Tribolium castaneum: one gene and its partner. The protein of the gene in region 2 interacts with the protein of the main gene of each other region in a pairwise test. Links are inferred from orthologs where the notes say so. Each region holds a gene or a part of one and is shown on either strand. Other genes may lie near its edges.

What was found.
Region 1: the proteins of unc-104 (region 2) and Liprin-alpha interact in binary tests that used the Caenorhabditis elegans proteins (3 or more experiments, as listed by UniProt). The link is inferred for Tribolium castaneum from reciprocal best matches to the Caenorhabditis elegans genes unc-104 and syd-2.

The regions. Positions count from the first base shown.
Region 1 is NC_087397.1:21,769,715-21,773,977, forward strand, and holds the start of Liprin-alpha (liprin-alpha-1), read left to right. Parts: upstream 1-1,205; 5' UTR 1,206-1,492; coding exon 1,493-1,741; intron 1,742-4,263. Other genes in the region: fsd (transmembrane protein 183), read right to left, coding at 831-882. UniProt on the Caenorhabditis elegans protein: May play a role in regulating the structure of the neuronal region, called the active zone, from which synaptic vesicles send neurotransmitter signals across the synapse. This may be in association with the liprin-beta protein hlb-1.
Region 2 is NC_087399.1:8,193,091-8,196,923, reverse strand, and holds part of unc-104 (kinesin-like protein unc-104), read left to right. Parts: coding exon 1-372; intron 373-448; coding exon 449-639; intron 640-3,457; coding exon 3,458-3,636; intron 3,637-3,701; coding exon 3,702-3,833. UniProt on the Caenorhabditis elegans protein: Motor protein involved in microtubule-associated anterograde transport. Regulates the transport of synaptic vesicle precursors in the axon of DA motor neurons. Regulates the polarized sorting of axonal proteins.

The DNA of each region.
Region 1 (4,263 bases), on a different chromosome or scaffold from region 2:
AGATGTTACTAAAATTCATTTTTAACAATAATTTAAGGCAAAACAAGTGTTGAACAAATACAGAACGGGAAATGTCATAGCATGAAAATGGTTTTTATATTTCTTCATAGTTTGAACATAGTTAAGTTAGAACTGACAATTAATCAAACCTTGACAAATTTAACGTAGTTATAAAATTATCTGGACTGGTAGTTTTCATCAGTGTCCTAAGATAACATTAATAAACCCTACCAGCCTAATTCAGTGCATTTCACTGTGCCATTAAAGCAAAAATTGTTTGAATGTGGCAGCTGCCAAATTGACAAACAAAATCTGTTCCAATCTAATGAAAATTAAATTTTCCGGTCTTAATGCATCCAACTGACACTATACACTACACGAGATACCTAATGTCATTAATTTTCAGAGGATTCTTGACCTGACTTATTTAGTCACGACACTAACCTGGGCAGTTTTAGCTGAGACACCCTGTATACTATTGTATTATCATTACAGTATTATTTACTGTTATCTAATCTGGTATTTTGTCTTTTGCGGATTTACCACAAAGACGTCATAGCATTCATGGCATTTTACTCAACACCTGCATTAGATTATTAATGACGGTATTTTTCTGTTGTCAAATCACTTAACAATGAGGTATGCGACCTTGTCTGTTGGATTTTCTAAAATTGCAAGGAAACAGTAAATTTCACCGACTCATGGAAATTCCTACTCAACAATAAATTACAGAGATTAAACAACACACAACAGTTGTAAATGAGTGTAAATGTTGTGTAATTTGAAGAAACATGAAAAATGCAGCAGTAACTGTAAACAAAAGGAATTACCTGCTAAATTGCTGGAAGTATGCTTTTTTCCGGATTTTTTATGCTTGGACATGGTGCAGTTTTGGATGTAATTGTTGTCAAATCGTGAATAAAGTACATGTTAAAACGGGAATTGAAAATATACTCAAATAATGACCAACGAGACCATCGCTATCACCAGCCATGATGGACTGAACGGAGTTGTCAAAAAACTGTCACTGTCAGGTGCCCCAACAATCAAATTATGATTTAATACTTTTGCAATAACACTATTGCTCTCAATTGTATTTTTGTGATTTGTATTTAATTCTAGTTTTTTTTTCGAAATAGTTTTTTAGTAAATTGTGCGTGGCGCCATCTGACGGTAGCGTTACAGTGTCCTGTTGTATCGACTCGAATGGGCTTATTTGACATTGGTTTTAAAATGGCTGTCAGATCCGAAGTTTGTGTATGTAGTTAGGACGTAAGGGATGGAATTTGTAGGTGTGTCATAGTGAAAACGTTCCGATAATGTTAACACATGTAGTAATAACCAATATGACAATGTGCACGTGTTCGGTTTGCGTCGGTTTGCGCGTTCCGTTTAGTTAATGTGGACGTTTGGTGAGGGGTTAGAACCGATCCATGTAATTGGGTATTTAGTAAAATAATCGGCGGGCAGTGCGTTAAAGTAAACAGCCAGCATGTGGAACATGATGTGTGATGTAATGCCGACCATCTCGGAGGACAGCATCAGCCAGAGGAGCTCCCAGTTCTCTGGCGAGGATGCGAACTTCGAGCAACTGATGGTCTCGATGCTGGACGAAAGGGACAAGCTGATGGACAGTCTGAGGGAGACTCAGGAGCGTCTCGGCGAAACGGAAATGAAGCTGGCGGACGTGGAGAAGGAACGCGACTCGCTCCATAGGCAGATCGCCGCCAATCTCCCACAGGTAAGAGCACCCACCACCGATTTGGAGCTTTATCGATTCCTCCCGGCAAAGCGCCTTCCTCAAACGCCATTTTCATAAAGAAATGAGACGGTTCCTTGCCGGTTTTTATTCATATCGTAGGGCGATTGTGGAAACTGGACCACCCTACCATGCATCTATGAATTAACGATTGCGATGGGATCTATAACTCCGCCCTTAATGGTCTTTTCGACGGCCACGCTTAACGCAGTCGTAGAGTCGCAGTAACCTTGGTTACCATCACATTGCCCTTTAAGTGCACTTGGTCAGATTAGAAATTATTATTATTTTTGATGATTAAACACCAATCAGTGAATGGTTGTGCTTGCCGGAAGAGGAAGTTGGCAAATGGACAAATCTACATATGTGTGCATACCTTTTAACATCACATGAAAGTCATTCGGTACAACACGTTGGCCAATACTAACTTAAACTCGATTCATTTCATCTTACATGTTAAAAAACGACTTAATTTTATTATTTCTGAATGAAAGAAGTTACTGTGACTTGTTGTTCGATGGATGGTAAATTGATTTTTTTCACAGTGAAGTGATAATCAGCTTTAGAAGCGCCTGTTGAGTCATTTTTCGATTGATTTGTATTAATTAACATGAAATTAAAAGACAACTGCTAAAATAAAACAAAAATGGGATTGTTAAAATTGTTAAATGCTCATTTGTTTTTTTTTTGTTAAATTTTTATTGACATTTTAAAATTTGTGAAAAAGGACAATTTTTCTTTGAATCTACAGCCTGTTCCGTCCACTTTATAAGTACCCGTAGTTTTGATGATGAAAATTTGTTTTTGTTGAGTTTTATTCCAAGCGAGTTTTTATTAACTTTTTCTATGCCTAAATTTAGCCGTTTTTGGGTTACGAATATACAGGGTGAGTTATTGATATGGGCAATCTCGATTACACTTACATCTACACTTACACCTAAACCATTAATGATCTCGAAATAAATTAAAGGGCACTGCAAATGTGAGGCCAAAGTGCAGTTTCTAAAATTATTTTGTCCTATACAGAGTTAAACAAAGCGTGCGACAAAGACAAGTATTATGAAAATTATTTTTCTATTTTTAGATATACAGGGTGAGTCATTGATGCGGGCGTGCTCGATTGTACCTACACTGTCAAAGATATGGGAAGTCAAAGTGCACGTTCTAAAATTGTTTTGCTCTATACAGGGTGTTTTATTTTTACAGTGCAACCTTTAACATAGTTTTTTAAATGGCATTCCCTGTACAGGGTTATTCATATTTATGAGACAATAAATGAAACTCAAAAAGGATCTTCTAAATGATGCCAATTGAGATTATAACTCGTGTCCTATCGAAACTGATAAGAATTTTACAGCCCTGGGAAGTAGGGGTATGGAAAGACGTTTTTGTACCATAACTTTAGAACCATTTGACCAAATATTACGAAACTTGGTAGACTTACTAAAGACAAAATGCCTTTTAATCTGGTAGTTACGAAAAACGGATACATCCACCCAGTTTCCGGTTGCAGCATTTCCACATTTTTTGTGTTTTTTATGTTTTTGCCCTCTTAACACTACTTTTTTATTGCTTAAATCGATAGAGTAATCAATTTCGAATAAAAAAGTTATAACCTTCTACACCGTTAAAATGGACCGTTTAATAGTTATTTTAATTTCAATAGAGGCTTGCACCTGACTAAAATCAAAAAAGTATGAATTTTGAGCTGATAATATCTGTAGCAACGAAAGTGCATCTGCACTCAAAGCGTTGTCAAGTACTGTCACACACTTGTCAACTTTAACTTTGGATAATTTGGGGCTCTAAATTAAAAATATTTAATAAAAGGAGTTTATTTCAGTCTCTTAACATAACCTACATTAAATTTGAACTAATTTGGTAGCATTTTTGATTGATTAATTCATCGAAAATTCACAAAAAAGTCATTAGTCGTTACCTAATTATTTGTTCTATTCGGTACGTTTATTACACCAAATTCCGAATAAAGACATTAAAACTCTTAAAAGCGTACCCCTACTAAGTGGGTGCAACTACTCGCTTGTCTTCCAGACACTAAATGAACAACACTCAGTTCACTACTAATTTGCATTATTTTGTAATAAAAGCAGCGGTATTTTTGACTGAATGCTTTGCGTTTTGTATTGTTAAGTAGTGTTAAGAGGGCAAAAACATAAAAAAATACAAAAAATGTGATCCGGAATTGGTGCAACCGGAAACTGGGTGGATGTATCCGGTTTTCATAATTACTAGAATAAAAGGCATGTTCTCTTTAGTAAGTCTACCAAGTTTTGTAATATTTGGTCAAATGATTCCAAAGTTATGGTGCAAAAACGTCTTTCCATACCCTTACTTCCCAGGGCTGTAAAATTCTTATCAGCTTCGATAGGACACGACTTATAATTTCAATTAGCATCATTTTATAGGTCCTTTTTGAGGTTCATTTTTTGTCTCACAAATATGAATAACCCTGTATTTAAAAAAAACGTGCAGGGGAAAGACAT
Region 2 (3,833 bases):
TCCTCAAAACCGGCTCCCGAGTCATTTTGGGCAAAAACCACGTGTTCCGCTTCACGCATCCAGACGAAGCGCGTGAGATGCGTGAAAAAAATTCGACACCTTTAGAAACCGTTGACTGGAACTATGCACAAATTGAACTTCTTGAAAAACAAGGCGTTGACTTAAAGGCCGAGATGGAAAAACGTCTCCTAACCCTCGAAGAACAATACCGTAAGGAAAAAGAAACCGCAGATCAACTGTTTGAAGAGCAGCGAAAAAATTACGAGGCTCGAATTGACGCGCTTCAAAAGCAAGTGGAAGAACAGAGCATGACAATGTCGATGTACAGTTCCTATACGCCCGAGGATTTCAATAATGAAGATGATATTTTCGGTGAGTTTTTCACAGGAGTTGTTGCTGTGGCTTAATTTCGATCAAGCGCACGTTTATTGCTTGCTTTGAAATTGAGACGGGGGCGCTTTTGCAGTGAACCCTCTGTTTGACGCAGAGTGCAATTGGACCGAGAAGGAGTACGAGCTGGCCGCCAATGCCTGGAGGAAGTGGAAACATCACCAGTTTACCTCCTTGAGGGACGATCTCTGGGGCAATGCCATTTTCCTCAAGGAGGCGAACGCCATTTCGGTCGAACTCAAGAAGAAAGTAAGCGAAAATTTATTATATTCTTGTAACCTTAAACGCATAATCAGTATTGATGACATTAGCCACTTCCAACCTTTCGCCATAAGCTTAAAAAATAGATAAAAATGTTTAAAAAATGTAAGCGCAGACTTACACATTAATGTATTTATTTCATTGTTTATTTCTGTGTGTAAACAAGAGATGATAAAAACATCAATAATATTTATTTCGATAAATATGAAGGCACCGATATCTAGTGTTTTGTTCGTCTGTCGATTTTTTAAAATATAGTAGAGCTTCGGATATAACGAGCAAAATTGAAAGTCAATCCCGTTTTAATTCCTATAGTATAGCAACAAATGAGTAAATTCAATGTTAAGTCGCATTTGTGCATATTTTTTATGTTTACAGCTTTTCAAAATTTTGCCTATATGCACTGTACTGCCGTTAAAAAATAGCAAGGCAATACTGTTTTCCTCATTTTTTATTTTGGGATGTTTCTGATAGTGATGCTGAGAAATTTCTATAAATAATGTGAGTATATTTTGAAAATGAAACTTTGCTTTGTTTTTCAGTTATATAAATGTCGATCAACAAATTTAACCAACTACACATTTTTTCGAATTCGAAAAACTTTATTTGTCTTAACATTATTTACATAACTGTTACATTTTAATAATTATTTATTTAACTATAATTTGAAAGTTTAGAACGCTTACATATTAAACCAGAGCGTATGAAATATTAATAGCAAATTAACAAATTTGTAGCAACGTTTTCTTTGTACACCATTAACCTTGTCAAAACATCTTATCCTGAAGGTGCTTATCTTAACACCATTATCTGTTGTAAAACTTTATGGCGTACAAAAAAATTACAATATCGAAATTCTCATAGATCCATATTTCCACAAAACTAAAATTTAAAAAGAAAATTGGGCAAATAGATTTAGGGTCAATTTACAGATCATTTATTAATTACAATCAAATTTTAGTTTATAATGAACTGATTACTGAGTAATTTAACATTTGTTAATAGCAACTTTATGAAACGAGCCTTAGCGAGTGTCGCAACGAAGATAAGTGTCTTATTAGCTTTTAAAGGCGAGTTACATACGCTATTTTTTTCTACGATCTGACCGGTTAATATAAAATCACATTTTTTTTCAAAATGTCAATTTTTTTAAATGTCAGGCTCAAGACAATCTAACAGTTGCTGCTATCTTACTCGTACATTCTCACTGGTTACAAGTTGAGTTGAATGGATTGAAATTTCACATACTTACGTAATCTGTTTCTATGTTGTTAATTACCCCCTAAAGGGGTTAAATGGGGTTTCAATTTTTTTTAATTTAACGAATTGTTATTTCTAACAAAAAACACTTTATAGCCACGAAAAACCCTATAAACAAGACATAGCTATTTACCACCACATACTTTTAAAATGATACTATCTATTGTAAGAAATTAACACGCAAAATTTCTAAATGAAAAATATATAAAAAAATGTTTTTTTAAGCTTTTTTTTAAAAGATGCACTAAAAAGTCAAAAATAATGTTTTTCAAACATCTATAATTTTTTATATATTTTTTATTAGTTGTATTTACTGTTTTCACAATTTTTACTTTGCATTTATGTTTTTTTTACTAACAGTTATTATTTTTACCCAGCATTTAATTTTTTCCCAAAAATTACCAGTAGATGTTAAGTAAACCAAATGAAGTTGAAAGATTTTTATAGTTTTTATAATCGGCAAGAAATAATCACTTGAAAGTATACTTAAATAATATTAATAATGATTATAATGTATTTCACAGATATTTTGTCGGTTATTTATCTACAATAATGTTCGGACAAATTAATAGCGACTGTTAATTTATTATTCGTCCGCACATGTTTGTACAAACGGATAACACAGTGTGCGAACGCTAACTACGGTCTTTAAAAACTGTTGAATTGGTAATTTTGTTTTTGTCGAACTTTTGGCATATTTGCGTTTGTATAACACTTAAAACTTACCGAATCATAATAGAAGAGAATACATAAAAACATAGAAACATTGAGAACTAGTTAGAAAAAAGAACAGAGGGATAGAAATTAGAAGAAGACAAAAAATACAGTCAACTAGAAGATAACTGACTGAAGAAATAAATTTTAAAATACAAAAAATTAAAATGATATAACGAATAAAAAACTGATTCTAAATCTCACATTGAGTATTTATAATGATATAATACGAAAAAAATTCAAGACTTTTAAATGGTAATCAATGTTTTTTATTGTTTCTGGATTATCCAAGGGTTTTATTCGGATTCCATATTTCGGTGTACCTGTTGAAATTCACTCTTTTAATTAAACTACAGACAAAATGGTCAAAAAAGCACTAATTAAAAGAAAGTTTTGAAACAGATAATAGTTGTTTATTTTTTTTTTTTGGTAGAGGTACTCACCATAATAATAAGCTCAGATGAAGTATTTTTTTTTTTAAATTAAAAAACTTCCGACCTAGTATGAGAAAAACAATCCTTAATTTTATTTTTACAAAGATTGAATTTTTCGGTCTTTTGTAATGCGATATATTTTAGAATTGTAAAACCTTATTGGCAAGAAAAAATATCATCCTGTCTTTATTAGTAAATTAGATTAATACTTAATGGATCTATTCCAAGATTTAGAATTAATTTGTGTTCGTTATAACCGAGTTCCACTGTACTTTTTTAAAATACTTGCCAAAAAAATAAACATTCTTTAAAAGATTGTAATATAAGCTTCTGACTCCTTAAAAACTAGTTAAAAAAGTGCCAATTTGGCACCGGAACTGCACAATATATTCTCCTAGGTACAATTCCAATTCACACTTTTGACCGACACCCTCTACTCGCCCCTTCCGGCCGATTTGCGTCCCACCATCGACTATGATCAAGACGAGGACGCGTCAGTGCCGAAAACAATTGTCGCTGTTGAAGTTCAAGATACGAAAAACGGGGCGACTCATTACTGGTCGTTGGATAAACTTCGGTGAGTGTTTGTTGGATGATTGTAAATTTGAATGATTCTGTGTCACGTTCTGCACTAATCATCAGTCAAAGACTGGAATTGATGCGTCTGGTTTATAACGAGGAAGTTGTGGAATTGCCGAGTCCTGAAGTTGGTATTGAAACAACAACGCCTTTGCTGAGATGTCTCACGCAATGTCCACCATCACCGTCACGCTT